2 linked regions of the Struthio camelus genome follow. The protein of the gene in region 2 binds, or shares a complex with, the protein of the main gene of each other region. Links are inferred from orthologs where the notes say so. Each region holds a gene or a part of one and is shown on either strand. Other genes may lie near its edges.

What was found.
Region 1: TPRKB (region 2) and GON7 share a complex: the UniProt entries of both Homo sapiens proteins name them as parts of the EKC/KEOPS complex. The link is inferred for Struthio camelus from reciprocal best matches to the Homo sapiens genes TPRKB and GON7.

The regions. Positions count from the first base shown.
Region 1 is NC_090946.1:66,324,262-66,336,422, forward strand, and holds GON7 (EKC/KEOPS complex subunit GON7), read right to left. Parts: upstream 4,220-12,161; 5' UTR 4,186-4,219; coding exon 3,987-4,185; intron 3,810-3,986; coding exon 3,685-3,809; 3' UTR 3,299-3,684; downstream 1-3,298. Other genes in the region: putative E3 ubiquitin-protein ligase UBR7, read left to right, coding at 4,569-4,742, 4,929-5,062, 6,265-6,325, 7,976-8,071, 9,233-9,286, 10,465-10,570, 12,124-12,161. UniProt on the Homo sapiens protein: Component of the EKC/KEOPS complex that is required for the formation of a threonylcarbamoyl group on adenosine at position 37 (t(6)A37) in tRNAs that read codons beginning with adenine.
Region 2 is NC_090942.1:17,451,931-17,465,179, reverse strand, and holds TPRKB (EKC/KEOPS complex subunit TPRKB), read right to left. Parts: upstream 5,975-13,249; 5' UTR 5,928-5,974; coding exon 5,784-5,927; intron 4,382-5,783; coding exon 4,259-4,381; intron 1,550-4,258; coding exon 1,373-1,549; intron 521-1,372; coding exon 434-520; 3' UTR 125-433; downstream 1-124. Other genes in the region: ALG10 (dol-P-Glc:Glc(2)Man(9)GlcNAc(2)-PP-Dol alpha-1,2-glucosyltransferase), read left to right, coding at 6,427-6,591, 7,351-7,548, 10,203-11,258. UniProt on the Homo sapiens protein: Component of the EKC/KEOPS complex that is required for the formation of a threonylcarbamoyl group on adenosine at position 37 (t(6)A37) in tRNAs that read codons beginning with adenine.

The sequences.
Region 1 (12,161 bases), on a different chromosome or scaffold from region 2:
GCCCTGTGATACGTTATGCTCTGCCACATTACTGTATAATTTAGAGAGAATTTGATTTCTGTGGGAGCTTGTATGTAAATTGACTCTTAAGTCAGACAGAGTGGGAGTTCCACAGGATGACAATGGGGGAGTCACAATCATATCCTCTTAATGAAAATGATGTGAAAAATTTCTCAATTAGAAAATCTCTTCAGAACTAGGAAAGGATACAAACGGGTTTTGCACCTTATCAAAAAACACCCTGATTATGGGGCATAATGGGATTACCCTCTTCCCCTTGCAAAAACATCTGAGCGCTTAATAAATACTGAACTTGAAATTCTAAAGTTTTTGGTTAACACAGAACACTGCAATTCATTAAGTATTCATTCAGTATTTCAAAGTAGCAACAACAGACTACCTCATACACTGAAATCCCAATTTATGTAAAGGAGACCTGCTTTGACTTTTTTGAGCTAATATTTGCTTCTTATGTAAAAACTATCTTGAATTTAGTTGAGGATCACTTCAGCTCTTTCATACAGTAGGAGCATATAAACATTTTCTCCCCTTCTCTCCTTTAGCACTAAGTAAATCCATCTGCCCTAGCCCTTTTCTGGCTAATAAAACTAAGGCCTATTATTAAGATGTACAAACAACAATAAACAGCACAGATCATATGGTGAACAGGACTCATTCTGTGTCAGCCTAAACTTTGGTTAAGGTACAAAAGCACTACTCTGTCTTGGAGACAAAAAGAACATGCCAGCTTTCTTCCATCAAGGCTCATCTACTCTACCTAAAATGCAGGACACAGTTGACTGGTGGTGTACATATTATTGTACCTGCTCTCACAGGGTTGCTCAGGGAGTTTCATCTTCTAGCACAGCTTGATATAAGTCATTGCACATTGCAGACTTTTTTTTTTTTTTTTTTTTGCTATATTCTCCACACCAATGAGTGCTAAGTTTTTCCACATAACAGAAAACTTTAGAGCTTGTTTCCCACAGCCATGGGAAATGCTGTAGACCTCAGTGACTTGGTTGCTTGGAAGAGGGATGCCACAGCTAGTTACCTCTGTTGCCCCACATACCTGTTTCCCTGACTACAAGGACAGTACCAGAACTGGGAGGCTGCGGTCCTGGTGGGAGAGAGGGCCTCCGCCCCAAAGAGTCCACAACGCAGCTCTAAGAACAGACAGGGAGGGGGGAGGGGAAAAAAGCACCACAACTTTTGTGTGCCTAGTTACCCTAGAACAGCAGCTCTCTGAAAAATAAAGTTCTCTGTTGAAGAGTTTTGGCACTTATGTCACAGGTGAGCCTATGTTTTAGGAACGCTTAAGGTTGAAAGCCCAGTATCCTCCTCATTCTTTCAAAATTCTGCTGCAAACAGAAGGACTAGAAATGATTCTTTAAAAGCAAAATTTGAGTGGCCGTTTTCATCTCAGTGCTCATTGAACTCTTCTGGAGCTCAAGTGCAAGATGTCACCACTGTCCAGGCTGACACAGGAAAACAGTTATCTCATTACTTGGAGCATTACCTTAATTTATTCCCAGGCTAGTAAAGTTAGGATTTGTTGGTCTACACCAATGGTTTTCAACCGGTGACATGTCAACTTCTGTGTACCTGTGGACTATTTTTAAGGAGTCTCTTGACATTACTGCAGTGGTTAGGAGTGCTGTTTGAAGGAGGGAGGGAAAAAATAAAAAAAAAATACTGCTTTGGGTAGAGCTCTATAAAAAGCTTCTAAAGCTGTGTTACATGGAACCCAAAACACATGTTGTTAGTTTAGCACAGGTCACATGAAGCAGCCCTCTGATGTCTTTATTAGGCTAGCTTTTGTATGTGAAATGTTGCCTGTGCCGCTTTGATAAGCCACTTCCTTCAATGCATATATTATCTACACTAAAAGAACATTTTAAGTATTTTATCACTCTTAAGATTTTGCAGCCTGACAAGAGGTCAGAATTCATTTGTACACTTTTTTCCTATCTTAGGTTCTCAGCAAATAAAACTCTCTAGTCTTTGATGTCACAGTCTTTTCTCCTCAGTTATGACTGTCATATCTGCTAGCAAAATAATAGGTGTGTCCTGTGTGAATTTGTTAGAAAGACATCCAAGATACATTTACTGGATCTCTTTTTCAACTTTTTGCATGATTTCAAATGAATGCAGGTAGTTTTGTGCTAGTAAAAATTCACCCATAATTTTGTTTGCCCTCAGTATTCATGTGTCAAGATTTGCTCTATTTCTAGAATACCAAGAAACAAGCAATGCCAGCTGTTTTGCAACACATGGAAATTAATGCTTTTTACACTAGTAATCAGCTAGCTAATTTCTGGTAGGGAAAACTCTCAGGCTTCACAGCAAGCTCGGTGGACTGGGTATCGAGCATATCTTATACTTGTTCACAGAAGCATGCACCAAACAGAAATTTGGAATTAAAGTAACACACAGGAAGCATTTACAACCCTCACCCTCCCTGCAAGAACCATCTGACAGCCTGATAACATTCCACCTACTGCATTATCATCAGATGACAGGACAATCTCTCTTTCCTGCTCAGCACAGAGATTGGGTTATGCTGGTTTGTACAGCCAAAAACATAACATACTGGCAGGTGTTACAAGAATACTTACGTTTTTTCTCCTCTAAAATCAACTACGCTAACCAGTGTAGAATGTGATATTGCCCCCAGTTCCTGCCCTGACTTTTGTTTTTATTGTAGGAAGTATCATAAAATTTCACTTTGCTCCTTTTGTCCTTTGACGTAATGCTGAAACTTCTACATAGGCAGATTAATAAGGCTGTGACGTTCACTTTATTTGACTTAGCTGCTGAATCGGCCTAAAAATCAAACTGGTTAAAAGTCAGTGATGAAAAAGGTATATAAAGATTAAATGGTTCTTGAAAAAACAAAGATTGTTTGGAAGAAACAGATGACTAGGATAGACAGCTATGTTTTACTTGTATAATGATATAAAAGATAATTATCCAAGTCGCATTGACTTGTCAGCTTCCTGGCTATCATAAAAATTCAAAATGTTTGGAGACTAAGATTTCCAGCTCTTTCAATCTACTTCTTCTATGACCTTTACCAGGAAAGTACTTCAGTGATGGGTGACTAAAATAAACCTTTTATATTATACGCAGAAACAATCTGCCATCTTTTAGGCTCGTTCAGGAACAGACAGTCACATCTGTGCAAGTGTTTGTAACTTATTTTGAATACTCAAGTGATCTTACACTATTCTCTCTCCATACAAATGATTTCTTTGTCTTATACCATTTAAAAACCATAGCTGACAAAATAACGGGCTTCATATTTTATTATTTTATTTTAAAATAGTTTGGTTTTAAGTCATATGAAGAAATACTGTGATCAGGAGAAGCCATTAAAAGTGTTTCATATCTGTCACCTGGTTTACTGAAAATTCTCAATCTTTTCAGCCTAATATTCGCTTCCTGTAAAAAGCACATTGCTAATGCTAATACACACCCTTTTATTAGGCTTCTTATATTGAAATAGTGACAGTGATCTACATTTCATTTTTAAAACATGAGCAAAAGGAAGAAAAACGCTGACACCTGCCTTGCAAGAACAGTCTGCCCACCCCCGAGGTACCACCCTCCAAAAGAACACTTACATTCAATACTGCTGTAAAGTCTCTTTTTTAGGCCTAAATACAGTCTTTCACGCCATAGTCAGGACTGCTGAACTTTTGTCCGTTTTAGAGGTGGGCCATCTGCATTTGCTTTCACGTCAACGTTGTTTTCATCTTCATCTTCATCTCCTTCCTCCTCCTCCTCCTCCTCTTCCCCAACATCACCTACCAGGGTTCAAGCAGACAGCGGATGAGGTGTTGAAAAAGGCACACAGCCCCCCTCCAGTAGCACACGGCTGCCCAGAGGGAGGGCGCTGAGGCAGAGGGGGCGCGCGGCGCCCGGCTCGCCGCGCGCCCCCGCCCCGCCCCGCGGCACGCGCCCAACGGCCGCCCGCCACTCACCGCGCGGCCCGCCGCGGCCCCCCGCCTCTCTCTCCTCCTGCACCAGAGGCCCCAGCAGCTCCGCGACCTGCTCCTGCAGCTTCTCGAGCCCCCGCAGCAGCCCCCGCAGCTCGCCGCCCGCGCCCGCCTCCGCCTCGCAGCGCACCCGCAGCGGCCACGTCCGCCCGTCGCGGCCCGTCAGCTCCGCGCGCAGCTCCATCCCGCTGCTGCCGCCGCCGCCGCCGGAGGGGGGGAGGGGGAGGGGGAGGGCGGGCAAGGGGCCGTGACGGGCATCGCCGCCACCCAATCCGCAGCCCGCGCGGGCTGACCCGGAAGCGCTCGCAACCCGCCCGCGAGGCCGCGCATCGCGCGCGCAAGCCCCGCCCCACAGCGCCGCTCACGCAGGCCGCGTGCCACAACACAGCGCCGCGCGGCGGCAGCTGCCTCCGCCCCCCCCCCCCCGCCTCTTTGTGACTCGCCGCCGCGCGCGTCACGTGGGCCGCGCGCGCCGTTGCGGTTGCGGTTCCGCTTCCGCCGCGGCGCCCCCTGGCGCCCGAGACGCGTTTTTCCCGCCTCGGCTTGGCTCGGCCCTCGGCGGCGGCGATGGAGGCGGCGGCGGCGGCGGAGGAGGGCGCCGAGCCCGGGAGCGGCGGGGCGGGGGGCCCGGAGGAGCCCGTGGTGTCCCTGGCGGAGGTGTTGGCGGAGAACGAGGAGCTCGAGAAGGAGGCGCGGGCCGTGCTGGGGGGCAGCGACCACGAGCGATGCAGCTACTCCCAGGTGGGGGCGGGGCCGGGCCGGGCCGGGCGCGCGCACCTGGCGCCTCGCGGCGGGGCGGGGCGGGGCCGCGAGGGACCCCCGGGCGGGGGGCGGGGGGCGGCCGGGCTGCGCGGGGCTCGCCGCCCGCAGCGGCCCGGCCCGGCCCGGCCCGGCGCCGCCGTGCCCACGCGCGCCGTTTCGTTGCAGGGCGCCGTGAAGAGGCAGGCGCTGTACGCCTGCAGCACCTGCACCCCGCCGGGCGAGGAGCCGGCGGGCATCTGCCTGGCCTGCAGCTACGAGTGCCACGGCACGCACAAGCTGTTCGAGCTGTACACCAAGAGGTAACGTGCGACCCGCAGCTGGAGGAGCGCTGCTGCCGGGGCTTCGGCCAAACCGCGAAGCGGGACGGCAGAACAGCGAGCGTAGCGCCTCCGCAGACGTCGAGTGCGTCCTCCTCTTAACAAACACCTGTGTCCATCTTGTGCCCTGAAGTACACACAGGCTGCTTGCAACAGGGAAATAAAAAGTAACGCTGAGAGGCACAGAGCAATTTGAGTCTCCCCCTGTGGAAGCAGTACCGTAAGAACTAGGGGTATTGCGTCTTTTCGAATCTACGAAGTTTTTGGTTTCCAGAGTTCATCCCGTGGGTTTTCTTGGGAACTACTGAATGTGCTTGCCACAATTGCTTTTTAAATGCTAAGGCTTATCCTTGCAATTTCGCTTGCAAATCAGGTAATCATTTAAGGTTCATGCAATTATTTAGTGCAACACAAGCATCTCTGACGTGAAATACAGCATTTTCTTTAACAGGGTACTGAAACACAGTGATTTCAACTAATAATTGTCCTCCCCTCTCGTGTTTTCCTTAATGGTCTGAGTACTTCGAAACTCCTTGAAGAATTTTGGTATCTAGATTAATTGTCCAGAGAACAATTTTCCCACAGCGTCCTCTGCTATATATAAAAAAAAAAATTTAAGATGGGTTTTAATGGACCAAAGCAGGACAATGTTTAGATGTGCAACTCATGCTAAGATACCGTGTTTCCAGTAGTATGGAAGTTTGCAAAACTGGGCCGGAAACTTAGGTCAGGTTAATTAAGTAGTCACGTTCCTCCATTCTCTTTAGCTATCCAAGTGTCCCGTGCTATTTTAGTGAGAATTTAGGGTCCTGAATAGGAGATAAGAGCTTAATCGTCTGTGTTGATCTAGCCTAGCCTTTGGAGATGAACCAATTTACACGCTTTTGCCAATACACATGCTTGCCTTTTTGAATGTGGTAGTTGCAGCACCCTCAGTTAGCTGTTCTATTGAGGTCTCTCAGCCAAATGCTGTTGTAAATGATGATGTTAGCTGAGATCTGCCAGAAACACAGCATGAGAGGGTAAGGCCGCAAGGCTCTTTGGCCAGTTCTAACAGATGCTATTGTTTAAATAGCTGCAAGAATATTTTTATGGTTCCTAATAAACTGTTGGGAATTGTTGCAAATACAAAAGTTAATGCATTTTTAGATAATCAATCTGAAATGCTTTGTTTTTCTTTCCAGGAACTTCCGCTGTGACTGTGGAAATAGCAAATTCAAAAATTTGCAGTGCAAGTTACTTCCAGTAAGTTCAGATACAGGTTTTTAGACATACAGAATCAAAATAACAGTTTTAGAAGGTTGTGGTATCTTGCCTTAGAGAGTGCTGACTCATATTGTGCCTCTTCTTCTCCCTGCAAGTTAAATGAGGGGCAACGTTTGAGCTTTGTCACTCTTGGATGCAGCTGCTAGCATACATAGCTAGCTCAATGTTTGAAACAGCGAAAATGCTTTAGCAGGTTGTGATGCCTGTATTGATAACTCTTGCTATCTCTAAGCTGGCTTCAGGAGAATCTTTTTGGGGTATGATTTTACAGTTGCTTTAAGGAAACTTCAGATTGTGCTGAAGGAACATTTCCATCCCCTTTCCTGTGGCAGCGTTAGTGCGCTAATCTTTCTTGATAGGCTGTCACTGGAGTCTTCTGAAGGAGTAGTTTTTTACTGTATTAAGCTCCCTGTAGTTTCATGCTCAGTGGGCAGTTTGGACTCATTAAGTATTTGGTAATGTTCTGGAAAGCAGACAGAGGAAAGAAGCTTTTTGGCTTGCCTGCAGTTCTGTTCCTGAGATGATAATGCTCCAAGTGTAGAAACAGCAAGTGGTTCTGTGTATACCTGTTTGGTCCTGGCAGAATTGGGGCTGATCCAGAGCTAGTAAGCCTAGAGCTGCAGTCAGGTAATCCCTACAGAGTCGCGTGTGGCAATTCTAAGACGTTACTGCTCCTTGTTTGAGTCAGTGAAATGGATCATATGGCTCCTCCTTCTCTTCAGTGCAAAATCAATCTGCTAGTTTAAATGACCTTCAACATCAGTATGTTCAGCTGGCTGACTTCATGGATGAAGTGAGCTCATATCATCTGTTCTTCTTTTAACAGAGTAGTGGTAAAAAGCATTTTATAGCATATAAATTGTCACAGCTGTTTTTGCAAGGGCTGACTGTGGTCTTAGGCTGCAAGTACATACACTTCTGAAGTCCTCCGGCCCCAGCTGTATTAGTTATTTTTTGAAGTGGAATTAGCTGTAACTGAACTTCATTCAGTGTGTTCTGTAATTTGGAACACCCTCTCATATGGAGTGAGGTTTAGATGACATTAATTTAGTGTAAGCTAAACATTAAACAAAACATAACATTAAACAAAATTGAGTTTGGACCACAGTCTGGATGCTTAAAAAAAGAAAGAGCGTGTGGAAGGTGCACAGTAAATGTGCAGACTTTGCTGCAATGGCAACAGCCATGCATGATTGGTGATCAAACCTCAAGGATTTTGTTTGAATAAAAGCTTAGTGGCTAATGGCCTTCTGGAAAGAATTGTGCACATATAAAAGAAATTTAAATTTGGCTCCCAACAGTTATTGTTAAAGAAATATTATGCTCTTAGGCATTTTTAGATGAGCAATAGCTTTAAACAAAACCCACGATAGTTGCCATTTGCTGTTCTGTGTGTGAAAAGACTGTTCTTCGTCTTTCCTTTTGAACTTCAGTACTCCTCACGTGCCCTGTCTTCTGCCGACTGTATAACATAGGGGTCTCAGGGTAATATCTTTGTTTTCAGATGCTCAAGCTGATGAGTGTAATGACCGCTTTTAGGAAGTAAAAATTTTTTTTAGGGTATGCATCTTTCCGGTCTTCTGTTTCTCACTGCATTGCCTATTGAAACAATTTCTCCTTTCTTTCTAGGAAAAGGGCAAAGTGAATTCAGGAAATAAGTATAATGACAATTTCTTTGGATTATACTGTACTTGTAAAAGACCTTATCCCGATCCTGAAGATGAGGTAAGAAATGCAATATGCAGTAACCATGTTCAGAAGGTGTCTATACAAACCACTGTGCAAAGGGTGATCCTCGAGCTGTTTCTTAAGGAAGATCCCACTTTCAGAAATCTTATGATCGATATTATTTTTGACTGTCTTTCACTATATAAAGTAATACATTCTCACTTTCTTTTTAAAAATAGTTAAAACTCTTTATACTTTAAAAACAGAGGAGGAAGACACGCCATCATTCAGACAAAATGGTGGTACACTCATCTCTGCTTTCCTCTCTGTAGAATTATATGGTTCTCTTAGGGAATGGGTTTATCTTGAGAAATCCTACGAACACAGAGAAGTCACTTGATATGAGAGATCAGAATCTGCTTCCTCACGCTTGTGACAGTGCTCTAACAAGACTGCTTCTGGGGTGGGGATGTTTTGTCTTTTAACAGTGGCTTTAGCCTTCCTTTATATCAGTGGAAATGCTGTTTCTCTGTCTGAAGTATTAAAACATGGCACTTGGTTTACGCATAGAAACTTTCCTTTGCAGTTATAAAAGTTAGATGTTAAAAAATGAGTTTGTTAGGAACAGAAAGAATAAGAAAGGCATAAATCCTCCAAATAGGAAAAGACTGTATTAGTATTATTATAAAATATGAACTAATTTCTCCCAAGTTTAGTGAAATCTAAATATTTCTAAAGAAATCATTAATAATTATTTCATAATAAATCAGTTTGTACTAAGTTTGTATTATGGACAGTTAAGTTAGGAATATGGCATTCCTAAATAAAACCTGATGACACTGAGAATAATAAATATCCTTGTTTTGATAAGTCCCCTATTTATGCATTTCTGTTTACAGGAAGAAAGATACTGATACCATGTCAGCTTTTATTTGCTCTTTTGTACAAAAATGTCTTGCTCTGCTGGGAAAACTAGTTTTGTAATACAACTGGGAATTTCCATGGTCTTCATAATCTAATAAATTACACATGCTCTAGAACTTTAACGAAGCAAACTGACTAATGAAACAGTAACTACTTATTAATGGCAGCTCAGTGTGAGTGGGTGAAGAGGGAAATGCAATTCGCTTGAGTGGGCTTTGCATAATACTGCAGTTTGAGGCTTGTGAAAGATTCTGAAGGTTGATATTAACGCTAATAATACGACCATTCATCTAGATTCCAGATGAAATGATCCAATGCATAGTTTGTGAAGACTGGTTCCACGGAAGGGTAAGGAAACTATAAGTAGCAGAATTGTTATTTGCATAGAAATAAATTAATGTCAGTTAGTTTTGTATGGTAATTCTTCCTTGGAAAGATTTGCTGTAGTTCTCAGAAGATTTTTACATAAGTTCGAGGGCAGTTCTTTTCAGCTTCTGCAAGGTATTACTAAATGTTTAATCTTGTGTTGCTATTCACTCTGGTCCAAAATAACTAGGAATACCTCTACTTTTTCAAGGTTACTTCTGTGGAATAAAATAATAGGTTTGTAACTGTCTTTAACTGAAAAATTATAATAATTGGAATCTGAGTAGGGATGCTTTGAATTGTAATTACATTAAATAGTAAGGAACAAATTGCACTGTTGGTCCCTGATTACAGACTTTGGAGAAATCTTTTAGAAGCAGCTAAGCACTTTACTGAATCGCTTTACTGAATGCCCTACTTAATGCACGAGCAAGGATTCAGCTTGTCATGCCTTTGAGGGCATGAGTGAAATTCCACAGTGGATGAAAGAAAGTAAAATGTTTGACGTTGCTGGAACAAGGAAGAAAACAGGATGATTTGCTTCAGTTATAGGTTCTGTAGATAAAAATGTGGGTTTCCTTTTTTATATATAAATATGGGCATTAAGGATGTTATGCTGCATATTGTAAGCTGTATAAGAATGTTTTTCAAAAGAAAACAGTTGAGTGCACTGAGGCATTGCCTCAGTGTTTCTCATAAATTTATTTGAGGGCTTTGAGACCTAATTCTTCTCAATTTCAGTATGCGAACAATGAAGATTTACAATTTCTTATGTGTAAGGAAACAATCACAAAAAGTTAACGTGGGAGTTTAAAGTTGCAGTATGTGTTAGATATCTTATTAAGCAGCTATATTTAGGACAGTGTTTAGAAGAACGACGTTTAGAAATGAGATACAGATAGAACTGAGATTTCTGGGTATGCAGAAAGCATAAAAGACAGTAAACAAAGGCACTGCGATCTCAGTTTTTCCCTGGAATTTGATCTGCTCTTTCCCACCTTTTGCTTATACTGATGCTGGTTGTAGAAAGTAAGCAGGACTGCATGCTTGCAGTGAAAATAAGATAGCAGCTGACGTTTTACTTGCACTAAAACTAAAAAGTTGAATTTGTTAATTTGCAGCCAGTGTTTCACGGTTGTGTGCTTGTTTCTTTTTGACAGCATCTTGGTGCAGTGCCTCCTGAAAGCGGAGACTTCCATGAAATGGTATGCCAAGCCTGCATGAAGCACTGCCATTTCCTATGGGCCTATGCTTCGCAATTAGCAGGTAAAGGAAACTAACGTTTCTGAGCCAATATTTCTTTAGTATGTATTTCTCATACTTAATTGATTATTAATTATTGATTATTGACATAATATATGTAAGTGGTAGTAAATGATATTCATCATGCCAGATAACCACCTTTAGCAGTGAAACATATAAGGCTGCACTAACTGTTCTATTAAAAAAAAAAAAAAAAAAAGAAGTCTGGTTCATAAATCTTAATGCCATAGTTGTCACTACCTTATTTATTTCATCAAAGGCATGCTAGCACATGGATGGATGAAGATCTATTACTTGCCCCAAGGAACTTAAGTTATAGGCTCAATCAAAAGATCTGAAGAGCCATCATAAGGGAAGCTGTGAGGAAAACAGCTGGGTTTAAGAGACTCTGAACCTGAAAGAGAGCGTGTAAAATCTTAATTTGAACATAGCTGGAGCTCTGTTTGGGTTGTGTGTTCCCTCAGGGGAGACCAGTGATCACACCAGGTGTGTGTTCAGTACATGGTCTCTGCAGGATGAGAAGAGCAGCTAACTTGCTTTCAGTGGAAAGGGCTGGTTTCACGTAGTCTTGTTTCCTAAAGATTCCTTATACTGAGTGGAGATTGAGCACTCATTCACCAGGAATTTCAAATGGTAATTTTAAGAATTCTAAGATGGGTTCTCTTTTTTGCTTTCCCTCCCCCCCACATCCAGCTGTGTTACCATGCTCACATTTGAATTGACATCAAAAGGTAAAATTGACACAAGGAAGCAGTTAGTATAGTTAATCTTTCATAGCGTTCTGGTTGCTGAGATCACTGCACTTGCATGTTGAGTTACCCCAAACTGTTCAAAGATGCATACATTATTAGTACATCCTTAGAAGTAGTACAGGTGACAACTGTGACTTTTCCTTGGTAGAATTTACTTCGTATTTTTGAGCTGTTTTGATGAAAATTAGTATCTTTCTTTAGCAAAAGATTTTATGGGGAAAACTAAAACTCTTGAAGCATTCAGCTGAAGTTACATTATTGTAACTTCTGGTTAGTAAGAACACGTGCAGCAGAGGGTCTACAGAAAGTCTTGTGCTTGGTATGTTGAATTGTTATTAATTTACAATTCTGTGTATAAAGAACTGCTAAAATTGTCTTTTGCAAAACCGTGTATAAAGCTGAAGACAGCTGCAAATGCTTTATAAAAGGTATGGAAGGACAAAGTCAACAAAAAAGTTGCTTGTCCTTCTTGACACTTCTTGATAGCTATCACAGATTCAGCAGCTGTCACACACTATCTGAAATTATGCTACCCTTTTCCTTCTCCTAGGGTCTTACATTTTGGGAGGCAGAGTATTTGTGGATGGGAATATGGGAGGTGATGAAAGAGGAAGGAGTTTCATTGTATACATAGGTCACTGTTTTTGGATAACTGTAGAATGTATCTAGAACTCTGGTTATGATCTGTATCAGACAGTCTAGGTGCCCTGTAACACGGCATTATAAAGCAAAAAAGAAAGCATGTAGTAGTCTGTACTTTGCCTGGCACAGTATTTTTATTTACATGGATATGCATCGTCCTAGTTCCTGCTTTGACCAAAGTGAACTCTTTTGAAGATGAG
Region 2 (13,249 bases):
AATGATATCACCCCTCAGGGGTGCCAAAATAAAACAAGTCACAGTAGGATTAATAAAAATAATTTACAGTGTTTGAATCCTATTTGTGGATGATAAAATGCTCAATGAAAGAGAAAAGTCAGTACAGATTTTCAAGCCTTCTTTTTATGATCAGCTCAAGGTATCGGGAAAAGTGATCTTTTCTCTTGTTAAATAAGAACATAGACAGAAAGGGTAATAGCAAATTTTGCTTAGTACAGCAGAATTGCTTGTGCTTAGAATATAGCTTAGATTACTCCCACATCCAAGCTAGTATTTATAGTTAAAGCTCAGATACCACCACACTACTCGGTATTACACCGATTTCTCTGAAATACAGGCTGAATTACCACAAAGTATTTTTGAAGCTTAAAAGATCTGTTTTTCTTTTTAAAAAAAATTTATTTGCACGTTTTCATAAAACATCTTTTGTCGACATTCTGCAAATAATGCCATCCAATAAGGTGCCGATTTTTTCTTCCTGTGGAGTAAGTTTGTACATCTGCAGAAAAAAACCCAGAAAAACATAAAGGCTGTATAAGGCAGAAAAAAGTTATCATACTTAACTTTAAAAAAAATATTAAAAATATATTTAAAAATATATACATTAACCCCCTCCAATTTTTTACAGTAGAAATGTATGTCTTGTCTTGCAGGCTAGATGAAGGAGTAGGAACCAGGCAAATTCTTAAACTGCAGAGCCAAGGGAAAGCTAAGAAACTGATAGATAACAGTACTTTCAGCTCTACATGTTATATGCTATGATACGTCCAGTTTTGCTCATCTCTCTCCCACCATTACTTTGACTGACATAAGCAAGACGGTTTAAGCTGCTTCAATTTCATCACATGGAACACACATACTTCAAGATACCTTCCTAGCTTACGGTAATCTGCTAAAGTGCAAATGCCCTAACACGGTTCCTAGCAGGTAACCAACAAATCATTCTTATTTTAGTTGCCCGTGCTGGGACTATTTATGTATTTAAGATTATGAAACTACGCAGAACTGAACGTTTATTTTTAATTAAATGTATATTTACTTGGGAAAACAAGAAAAGGAAGCGACAGAACAGTGGGGAGCAATCTAGATTTCATTTCTGTGTTCTAAATTTCTGAGGATACTAAGAATTTGATGACTCAAAATTTGGTACATTAGAGGACGACCACTAGAAACCTTTTCCCCCAGAGTAAAACTAGTAAAAGAAACAAATAATCAAGTTTTACTTATAGCAAGCTTCCAGTCATATTAAAGAAATATAAACTCTAAATGAGTTATGTCAGTTGAGATTTAATCAGACAATCAAATAAAATACCCCTTTCCTCAACCACAATTCTCTCTTTTGGCTACATACCTTTTTAATTTTTGCAATGTCTGTTAGTTGGGGGAGTTCATCTAGAGAAACCTGCTGGCCTTCTACTTGAGATGCTACATCTTCCAGATTTACAGTTTTTTCTCTGTCTTCAACCAGAACAATGAGTACCGCTGTGTCACTGTCTGAAATACCAAATTTTTTCAATGCATCTGAAATCTAAGGAAAGATGAAAAAAACCCAAAATTTAACTAGTCATTTTTTTACTACATTTAAGCAACATTTTCAGTTAGTGGGTCAAATAAACCTGAAGTATAAACTGACAAAATCTATATTAATAAAATGTTAATCAACTATAAGAGAGAAATTACTTCTTACACTAACTTCTATTAGTAGTCTGGGGGTTTTATTCCACCTGGATCAAAACAGTTGTTAAGAAGTTTTAGGGTTTTTTTTCCCCCCTTGGCAAGACTGCATGATCTTAAATCATCAGAAAACTAGAATAATAGTTACTGTGTGACCACAACTGCTACATCGGTTAGGTCAAGTCTCTTTCCACATTTGAGGCTTTTTTTTTGGTTACTGTTTTTGTTTTTAAAAATATATATATAACGGTAAAAAAAAACAAAACAAAATCTATATACAGAAATGGTACAGCCTAACACCTACCAGACAGTTCTTAATTTTGCTAGTGTATCTGCTGCTGAGTGTGTCTACAGCTGAAGTTTACAATCAAACAGATCCATTGATACAGAAATTTGAGGATAAAACGACTGTGGAAGAATAAAGGCTAAAAATATTTAGGGAAGAATATCTGAAAAAACGTCTCTGTCTCTCTAATTACATTTCTGTTCCTCTTCATAAATCTAGGGGCAGTAAATGATCATCTTCAAAGCAAAAGTCTCACAGAGATATTCCCAAATACTAACTTTAGCTAAGGAGGCTAGCTTTCTTCCATACCCTTCTTCACATAATGAAAGAGACTTCTTCACATAATGAAAGAGAGCAAAATCTTAGCATTAAGTGCTCTGAACTGCCCTTTGTAGGAGCATATCTGTGACCACTGATTTTACACGGAACATATGGAAATAAACCTCTGTAAGCTAAAATTACATTTTATGAAAGCCTTGTTATCAACGCATTCAGGTCATGAATTTACATTACCTATTACAGGGTTTGGCTTGAGGAATGACTTAAGAAGCTGAAACTCTGCAGTTCCCTTGAGTCTCACAAACCTATTACTTATCTGACTTCCTAGGTATTTTGGAAATGTCAGACAAATGGGAGTCTGAGTAAGTGTTAAAATTCTAATTAAGCTTGAACATGACACAACCACGTGCTACCACAACAAATGTAAGCCAGGTTCCTTATACAAAATGGTCCATAGGTTAAAAAATAAGCTATGGCTCACCATTATGCTCTCCTATTTTTAACAGCGCAGTGCAAACGGACTATTTGGAAGACAGGGATAGCAGCAAAGAAAATCAATCATTTATCATCATTTACGCACAGTACATTCTAGACAGCTAAACATCTGCCACATTATTTTAAGCTATGCGTCCCTGGAGAGAGTTATTCTTGAATCTCCATTGTCTTCTAACTCTTTCAGGATTCACTGACCCCTAATTAATATTAGTTATGGTGTCAATTTTTTTTTTCCAAAGAAGTTGGCACATTTGCTCAATTACTGGCAAAAATGAGAACAGAACTGTGTGAAAGTGATTTCCCTACAGCCTATATAGATTAATTTTTCATCGGCATTCTACAATTTTATTTCTGAAATCATTTACTAGGTGCTTTCTGTAGTGCTCTAGAACTGTACATTAAAGGAGAAAGAGTAAAAGTCTTATTTTCCATCTTTTGTATTATTGTCAAATGTTGATAGTAATTTGCATGAGTATTATGGGTAATTTCTGAAGTATTAATTAAATCATTTAATACATTATAATACAATATAATATATATACACTAATTTAATACATTACACTTAACATCAGAATGAGAGTATTGTTATTCACTATGACTGCTAAGACTATAATTTCACACAGTGACTAACGTTCATGGCAACGTGTTGTCAAATCAGTAGGGTTTTTTTCCGTTATACGAGTTGTGAGAGGATTTGGAGGTATCCTAACATTTTTACCTTTTTAAAGAAAAATATTACAGACTTTTACATTAAAAAAAAAAACCCTAAAAGCAAACAACATAGAGGAGAATTCCCAATACAAGAGAGACATGGAACTTCTGGAGCAAGCCCAGCAGAGGGCTACTAAGATGATTAAGGGACTGGAGCATCTCTCCTATGAGGAAAGGCTGAGAGAGCTGGGCCTGTTCAGCCTGGAGAACAGAGCACCGAGGGGGGAATCTTATCACCGTGTAATAAGTCTCTGTCAAGAGGATGGGGCCAGACTCTTCTCAGTGGTGCCCAGTGATAGGACGAGAGGCAACAGGCACAAACTGAAACACAGGAAGTTTCTGTCTGAATGTAAGGAAAAACTTCTCTCCTGTGAGGGTGACACAGCACTGTAATAAGTTGCCCAGAAAGGTTGTGGAGTCTCCTTCCCTGGAGATATTCAAAACCCGTCTGGACACATTTTAGGGCAACATGCTCTAGAGGACCTTCTTGAGCAGGAGGGTTGGCCTAGATGATCTCCAGAGGTCCCTTCTAACCTCAACCATTCTGTGATTACTCTGAAATTGTCAAGGATGAGAACGAAGGAGAGAATCGCTGCATGTGAGTTCTGTCTGCACAACAGTAGGACTACGGAAATATGACTATTCTGGTTACTTCAGAGAAGGTTCTGGTACATCAGAGTATGATGTTGTAAGGCCAGGTAAACTGTTCAGTGAATGCTTATATTTAGTTTTGACTGCATGGAACTTAGCAAGCCTCTCTGGAAAAAACACTAACTGTTCTGTATATCTTACATTGTTGTTTGGCGAAAGGTTGAAAATGATTTCTGTATAGAGAGTTCTGGTCTTCATTTTACCAATCTTGTGTAGATGAACTGCCTTGTTGGCTGCCACAAGAATTTGAAAAGGGTCTACAATCTGTAAAATACAATAGACAAATAGAAATTTTAGGCAATATTTTGAACACCGGAAAAAAAACCGTGGCGCTCAACTTTGTTAGGCTAAGTCTGTGTGACGGATCAACAACCCGTACAATGGGAGAAGGCTCAGAGGGCAAGCTGCCCCATAAACGTCAAGGACAGTGTAGGAGGCAGCTCGCTAACCACAGCTGTTGCACAGAGAACTGATGTTATCGCAAGACAAAGGGGACTCAGGGGTGGCCTTCATCTTAGATAAGCAGCCATATCTGTTACCTGGACCTGGTGGAAGTAGTTTTTTTCCTGAGCTGATCAAAAGGATGCGAATGTCTGCCTGAGATTAGCCAGACCAGCATGATGGAAGTGTATATGCAGCTCAGCCCAATAGAGAGTATAAAACCTCAACGACTAACGAAGAAATTTCAAAGAAAGGAACGGGCTTGAGCTGATATCAACCCACACAGTCCTTCCCAGCAACTGGGGACACTCAGCGTCGTGTCGGCGAGCATATTTGAGACCAGTAATGGCAACCACACATTGGTATTGTTACTGAACTGTTCAGCTATATTTTTTTAAGTGTATACACTTGAATTGTGATTTCAGTATATTACTGAATCACTCTGCTAAATCAAAATCCCATGTAACATCAAACTCCCTCAAAAATAAACTTTTATAGGAAACATTGCACTCTCTGTATACATGGAATATCTAAAAGAACCTGGTCAGAGAGCACTGGACTCTGACAGTCTGCCATCATTACCGTCTGCAATGCACTATCCAGCAATTCATTTCAGTAAATCTTGCTCTTCCAAAGTCAATGGGATCATTTACTGAGTGAGACAATGCTTGACATAAAAATAAAGATTACACTCACAATTAGGTTACTGGAATCTTTTGAAAGAAGTATCACATTAATAAATCTTCTCTCAGTTAATTGCCAGATTAGATTTTTTTTCTTCCCTAACCAACAACTGCTTTAATTCAAGACAAAAAACCAGAAACTAGTTATGGGTTTAGATGAGAACAAAGGCTCCTAACATTAGCGGTTTTTAATAGAGCACTAAATGATTATTAATACATTTTACAGATGGAAGTAGATTTAAATAGCTCCACGCAGTAGGAACGTTAAGGGAATCAAGGAGGAGATGAATTATTTTTTGGCCATTTTTGCCAAAAAAGACTAGGCTCTACCTTCTACATAGAGGGACACATATACTTCTGTAGTGTCATAATCAAATCAAAGGAGTTGCATTTACACAGTGAAAGCTAAGTATACACAGCAGCTTACATGATAGAGGCTACAAACACAGCTCATTTTCCTACAGCTTTTAGGCAGACAGAACTCCATGCAGCCTTCAAAACCATAATGCAGAATGAACAGGACAATAAGGACATTTGCTTACCATGGCGGGATTTATTAATGCTCCATCAATACAGCCTTCCATCGCTTTTTTTCTGAGAGCCGCAGCATTTTTCACATGATTAAACAGGAGGAGAGTCACGCTACGGTCCGGAAATAGCTCCAGCTGGTGCGTTAAATGCGGCATCTTGTCACGAAAGCGCCAGTTTCGCCCGGAATAACATACAGCAGCGACCTACCCTAGGGCATCCGCAAGAACAGTCATTACACACAAGCCGCACACGTTCTGCCTCGTACAGACCCGCGTTTCAGTAATGCTTGACCGGTCACAGGTGCTCAGCGCAGACTCTCAGCACTTCTTTGAGGTGAACATCGAGTTTAATGAGAGATAAGTTGAGCCAGATGTTCCAGCCAGCGGCCTCCCCCCGGCGCAGCGCCCGCGGCCTCGCTCGCCCCTTCCCGCCCGACACCCCCAGGGCGGCGGCGGCGGCGGCCCGCGCCCGGCACCCCCCGCCCCGCCCCGCCCCGCCCCGCCGGGACCCGGGCCCGGGGCCGACCCGCGCCGCCGCCGCCGCTCCCGCGGCCCTCACCGCCCGCCGACCGCCTCCGCCGCGGCCCGCGCCGCCCGGCCCCTCCCCGGAAGGGCGGCCTCTCCCGGCGGCGGCGGCGGCGGCGGCGGCAGCAGCATGGAGCGCGCCGCGGCCTACGGCTTCTCGGCCGCCATGAGCGGCACCTTCCTGCTCTCGTGCCTGCTCTTCGCGGCGCTCAACCGCCGCCAGCGCGCGCCCTACATGGACGAGGCCTTCCACGTCCCGCAGGCGCAGGCCTACTGCGAGGGCCGCTTCCAGCAGGTGCGTGCCGACCGCCGGCTCCCCCCGGCCCTGGCTGCCCCCCCTCGGGCCGCTCCCTGCGCCTGGCGCCCGCCCCAGCGCTTCCTCCTTCCCCCGCCTTGCGTCGGGGCGATGCGGCCCCGCTCTGCCGCCGCGGAGCGCTGCTCCTCAGGAGCCGTAAGGGTGCGTGGAAAAGGGGGAGTGCTTCTGGGGGGGGGGGGGGGGAGGAGGCGCCTGAAACGCGTGCCTGTGTTTTCCGTTACCTAGCGGTCCGGTATAGTTAGTGGTCCAGACGCTTCTCCGTGGTGCCCAGCGGCAGGACGAGGGGCAGCGGGCACAAGCTGAACCGCAGGCCCTTCCGTCTGAACACGAGGAAAACTTCTTTCCTGTCAGGGTGACAGAGCACTGGCACAGGTTGTCCAGAGAGGCTGTGGAGTCTCCTTCGCTGGAGATGGCCTGGACGCGATCCTGTGTAAGGTGCTCTAGAGGACCCTGGTTGAGCAGGGGGGTTGGCCTAGATGACCTCCAGAGGTCCCTGCCAACCTCAGCCGTTCTGGGATTCTGTGTTTACTGCTCATCGAATGCACGTGACACCATAGAAGGACATATAAAACATGTCAACGTTTCACACTAATACCCGAAATTCAGTAAATAGCTAAAGGAACAAAACGAAGGATAAGCTACAGCTGTCAGTCGTAACTGTCTCTGGGGTTGTGCATCTCTGACCCGTTCTCCCTGCGATAGCGGCTCTGTAACCTGACCCCTCTCTCTGTTTTGAAGTGGGATCCCATGATCACTACTCTGCCTGGCCTGTACCTGCTCTCGGTTGGGATAGTGAGGCCTGCGGCGTGGCTCTTTGGGTGGACCGGAAGCATCGTATGCTCTACAGGGATGCTCAGGTTTATTAACCTCCTTTTCAGTGCTGGAAACTTCTATTTACTGTACTTGCTTTTGTCCAAGATGCATCCGAAAAATAAGGTACAGTTCAAGTGGAATAATTTTCTGCACTAGTGCAAACAATTTTGGTGACTCTACATATGCCTCTTTTATTAGATATTTGAGTTATCTTCAGTTTTTATGTGGCTACAAGTATCACTACCAGTTTGAGTCAGGGAGGTGCGTTTCTTCTCTCCAGAAACAATCTTTTTTCTCCCTCTAAGGGTGTGATCCTCTAAAGACGTACCCTTGCACATGCCTGTAAACAGTTTAGTTGAAATAAAACATAAAGTTAATATTCATAGGGACTTTTTATCTGAAGGAGTGAATGCTCATCTAGTTGGAATTGCTTAAGGCTTGCCATAAAACTTCACCCGCTGATTCCTCAACGAAGCCCAATGAGCTGTGTTTGAGCAAAAATGTGTTTTTTTAGAAAGATACCAAATTTGATGTCAAGATTTAGAATTATAGGATAATTAGGCTGGAGGGGATCTCAGGAGGTCTGTAGTCCAGCCCCCTGCGCAAAGCACGGTCAGCTCTGGGGTCAGAGCAAGCAGCTCAGGGCTTTATCTAGCTGGGTCTTGAAAACCTTCCAAGGATGGAGAGCAACTGTGCAACCTCTCCAGGTAGCCTGTTGCACTGCTGGACTGGCCTCGTGGTGAAAGAGTTTTTCCTTTCATCCAATTTGAAGCGCTCTTGTTTTAATTTATACCTGTTGTCACTTGTCGGCCCACCGTGCAGCGCTGCAAAGAGCCTGGCTCCCTCTTCTTCTTAACCTCCTCATAAGTATTGTCAGGCTACTCTTTGGTCCCCCCGAAACCATCCCTTCTCCAAGCTGAACAAGCCCAGCTCCATCAGCTTCTCCTCACAGGGCATGTGCTGCAGTTCTCGACCATCTTGGCAGCCCTCCCCCCTCACTCCAGTTTATCAAAGTCTTTTCTTTTTGTTATTATTATTGGGAATGCCCAGAACTGGACATAGTATTCTAGATGTGGTCTAACAAATGCTAACAAAGTGGGAGAATCGCTTGGTTGATCAACTGGCCACAATTCTGCTAATGCAGCCCAGAAGGCTGTTGCCTCTCCTTGCTGCCAGGAGATGCTGCTGCCTCATGTTCATCTCTCTGTCTGCTCAGACTCCCGGGTCCTTTTCCACAGAGCTGCTCCCCAGTCACTCTGTCCCCAGCCTGAACCATTGCAGTAGGTTCTCGCTTTCTAGCTGCAGGGCCTTGCATTTTCCCTTGCTGAATTTCATAAGGTTTCTGTTACCCCATTCCTCCAGCTTGTCTAGGTCCCTCTGGATGGCAGCTCTGCTCTTCAGTGTGTTGCCTCATCCCCCCAGTTTGGTGTCATCTGCAAACTTGCTGAGAGTGTGCTTTGTTGTTGTCTCCAAGTATAAAGATGTTAAACAGGACAGGTCCCAGTAGAGACCCCTGTAGTACCCCTCTAGTTACCAGCCTTCAGATAGAATATGACCCATTAACTGAGCCTAACCAGCTAACTAGTTTTCTACCCATCTAGTTGTCGATCCACCCAGACCATAACAGTTGAACTTGGATATGAGAATATTGTATGTTTAAAGTGATGGATCATCAACCCTGTTGCAGGTAAATTGATCCAGCAGTTAATGGCTTATTTCAGCTTAGTTTGCTGTCTTTAGTTTCACCTTTAAACTGTAAGTACATTTTTTGCTATTCACTGGTATTCCATCATTATAAAGAAAATGTCTTCTGATGTAGATTACAGAGGACTCTACATGCTTAAGTGCTTGATGGAACTGTACAGAACTGGGTCAAAATCAGTAAAATGTTTCCTCTTTTGGAATGCTTTTAATTTTATATTTGGAAGTGGAAATAGAAATGTAAGAAAAAAAAAAAGGTTTCTTGGCTGTAGTATAAGCGTTACAAAACGTACTTGCGTTGTTGTCACTTCCTTGAGCTTTGAGCATTTTCTCTATTTCTGTTTTCAATTTGGTGGTGACTGGCTGTTTCATCCCACGCTACATCATTCAGAACCATCATGCAGCAGTTTTTAGTGCTGTGAATTACATTGCATCTTGCAGTGAGTGGGATAATTGGGAGGAGTTTTTAACTGTATGATCTTGTACCTTCTTTAAAGTTTCTTTTCTAACTCATGAATTATAACAAAAATAAACAACAAAAGCTGCACCAAAGGTTAGAAGCTTAACTGGCCCACCTGTGGACTGGCTTCAAAAGAGGCAATAGTGCAAGCACAGAATGATGTGTTCTAGTGTGTCACAAATAAATATAATCTAATGACGTGATTGCAGGGGCATGCAACACTGAAAACAAATTTTTTTCTTTTCTTTTGCCCATTAATGCAACTCGCTTATCATAGGTGTGAGAGCAATTATACTCCCACAATGACTTTAATGCTACAAATATGTGAACATCTGAGATATGGAAGAAGCTGATGTATTTTCTTTGCCATATTTTTAACTCACCAGCAGTTATACTTCTTGATTTCGTTTGTCTCTTAGCATTTTATTGTCCTGCACTCTATGTTAACGTAACGGGCGGTTTACAAAAATGTAGCTTGCGTGCTAGTGCACTAATGGAATCAATGAGCAAAAGAGACATTATATTGTGATAATGGGATTCTGAAGAATGATACCCTTTGGGTTTTTTTGGTTTTTATTGGATATTACTAATTGCATTTTTTTTGCTTCTTTTCTAGGCTGTATCTGGTTTCCAGAGAATCTTGTCTACATTAACTCTTGCAATATTTCCCACCCTTTATTTTTTTACATTCCTTTATTATACGGACCCAGGATCAGTATTTTTTACTCTCTTTTCATATTTAATGTGCCTTTATGGTAACCATAAGGCTTCAGCTCTGCTTGGATGTTGTGGCTTCATGTTTCGTCAGACAAATATTGTATGGACGGTTTTTTGTGCAGGAAATGTAGTTGCAGAAAAACTAAATGAGGCCTGGAAGACAGAGTTACTGAAAAAGAAGGATGAAAAGATTTCTTCCATGAAAGGATCATTTTCAGATCTGATCAGAATTTTCCAGTTTGTTATTGAATACCTCATATTACCTCAAAACTTAATTACGCTTATTGCTTTAACTTGGCCATACATCATATTAGTAGTTGTGTTCTTTGCTTTTGTGTTCATCAATGGCGGAATAGTTGTTGGTGACAGAAGTAGCCATGAAGCCTGTTTGCACTTTCCTCAGCTGTTCTATTTTCTGTCGTTTACTCTCTTTTTTTCCTTCCCCCATTTATTGACCCCTACTAAAATCAGGAAGTTCCTTCTGACCTTACGGAAGCACCCAGTGCAGTACAGCTTAATTGCTGTCATCTCTTTATTCCTGGTCTGGAAATTTACCTATGTTCATAAGTATTTACTAGCAGATAACAGACATTATACTTTCTATGTCTGGAGAAAAGTCTTCCAAAGACATGAGCTTGTAAAATACCTGTTAGTTCCAGTCTATATATTTGCTGGCTGGAGTTTTGCTGATACCTTGACATCAAAATCAATATTCTGGATTTTAATGTATTTTGTATGTTTATTTGCTGTTACAGTTCCTCAAAAGTTGCTAGAATTTCGTTACTTTATTTTGCCGTACTTAATATATAGGCTCAATATTCCATTTCCATCTCTTTATAGACAACTTATTGAGCTGGCTTTTTATATTTTTGTGAATGTAGTGACTTTTTATCTTTTTTTAAACAAAACATTCCAATGGCCAAATAGTGAAGAAGTGCAGAGGTTCATGTGGTGATTTTTTTTTTTTTTTTTTTTGGTACCTTTATACCTGTAGGAAAACTCAGTTCTTTTTCAGGACTGTAGACCCTGGAATAAAGTAGCGTGTATTACATTATGTAAAAAAAAATTTCCCCAGGAGAAATCAGGGAAAAAAAATCAATGGATTGCTTATATTCTTGGAACTGAATGTGAGATCTGATATGTGAAGATACTAGATTTACTGAATTTATGAGGTCCTAGAGTTAAAGTCAGAAGTAAGGAAATTTCAGAAAACCTTTCTGTAACTAATGTGAAATGAGATGTTTACAATCATATTTCATGATAATAATATAATCTGTAGCATACTTTTGAAGATATTTCAAAAGATATTTCAGTTTATAAGTAATGTTTTGGAGGTTTGCTTTAAAATAAAGTATTTAAGTGTTTAACCTTTTCATTACCTCTGGCTGCATATTTACTCCTCAGCACAGGCCATTTCCATCTATGTCTGCTAAAGGTCAAGGTATGAAGCCTTACTGCAGACTAAAGTTTTCAAAAACACCTACATCCTAATGGGTTTTCATGAGTTTTTGGTCTGTAAATGCTTACGTTAGTTCTGCAAACAGAATGTAGGCTCTTAAATCATTAGGACGTTTTGCAAATTTTATTTCAAACTGATACTTAGAAAATAGAGTGAAGACTATGTGCATGTTCCTTCTTTTGGGGGAATAAACATTATTATACAACAAAAGATAAATTGCAGTTGATAATGTGACCTATTAGAAGGGGAGTAATTTATATGTGCCAGGCTGAAACGTGTCATTACACAGTAGAATACAGTATAATGAAAACCCTTTTAAATAATAAGGCTTTTATGGCCTGAGGTCCTATGTTCACAGGTTTGTATTGAAGCAGGATGTGAGTACGCTCCGAAGTTGGAGTGTTTCTAAGATCGTTGACGTGTAATCTTAAAAATATACTAATGGCATTACTGTATTGTTCTTTTAAATGTTTTTCATATATATACACACTAGGCAGTTTACATTCCTTTTTACAAAGGTAAAAATACAATGTATATGAATTTTTAAAGCATCTAGTGCATTATTTTCTGAAGGAAAGAAAGTTCCCTTCAGTAAATGACTTTAATTAGGCTTGAAAATATTTGATCACTTCCAGATAGCTATTAAGTAGCTTTATAAATATAACTGAATTACGTGTGTGTGGCAGAGGGGAATTCAAAACCTCATAAACTGTGTAGTGTCTCAAAGTTCGTTCCTCTTGCCTAGCTGGCTTTATCAAGTTGAAGAGACAAGAAACTTTGTATTGGGTTGCTTTTCAGGAATCTGGCATGGTTCTTGCAGAGTCGAGGACATTGTCTTGTGCTGTGCTTTTAGTAGGACAGATTTTGTGGGGCAATCTTGCATGCCTTCTGCTTCTACCTTTGTTTTTGACTACCATTCAGATAAAACAAAAACAAGATAAATATGCACATGCATGTTTTACTGCAACTTTATATGTGCACTCAAATTTTTGTATTGAATGAACTGGAATGGCGACATGGGAGACAGGTGGGGTTTCTGGCTAGGATCCTGAATTGTTTTCTAGATCTTTTTTTTTATTATTTTTTTTAATTCCCTGAATTTGTAGAGGAGCAAGAGTTCCCTTGACAAGATGCAAAAATTATATATAGTCCACAATCGTTTTGATTTGTCCAAGATGGCTGTTGATATTGGTATCTGAATGCCTTAGATTATATACATTGCTAAGAAAATGACTGTGTTTGTGCCTTGTCCTTATTCTTAACTGAGATAGCAACAGTGTTTCAAGTAAAAAGAATTGAGTTTAAATATATACTATTTTAATGCGACTGTGCAATTCTCTTGTAAATAAAAGTGACTGCAAGACAGAAATCCCCCAAAACTTAGAGCACAATACCTTTCTGAAGAGCCCCGTATCACAAGATAGTAGAAAAATTACATGTAGAGAGGTGTCTGTGAAGTTCTTTAAAAGAAGGAAGATTATTAGCTG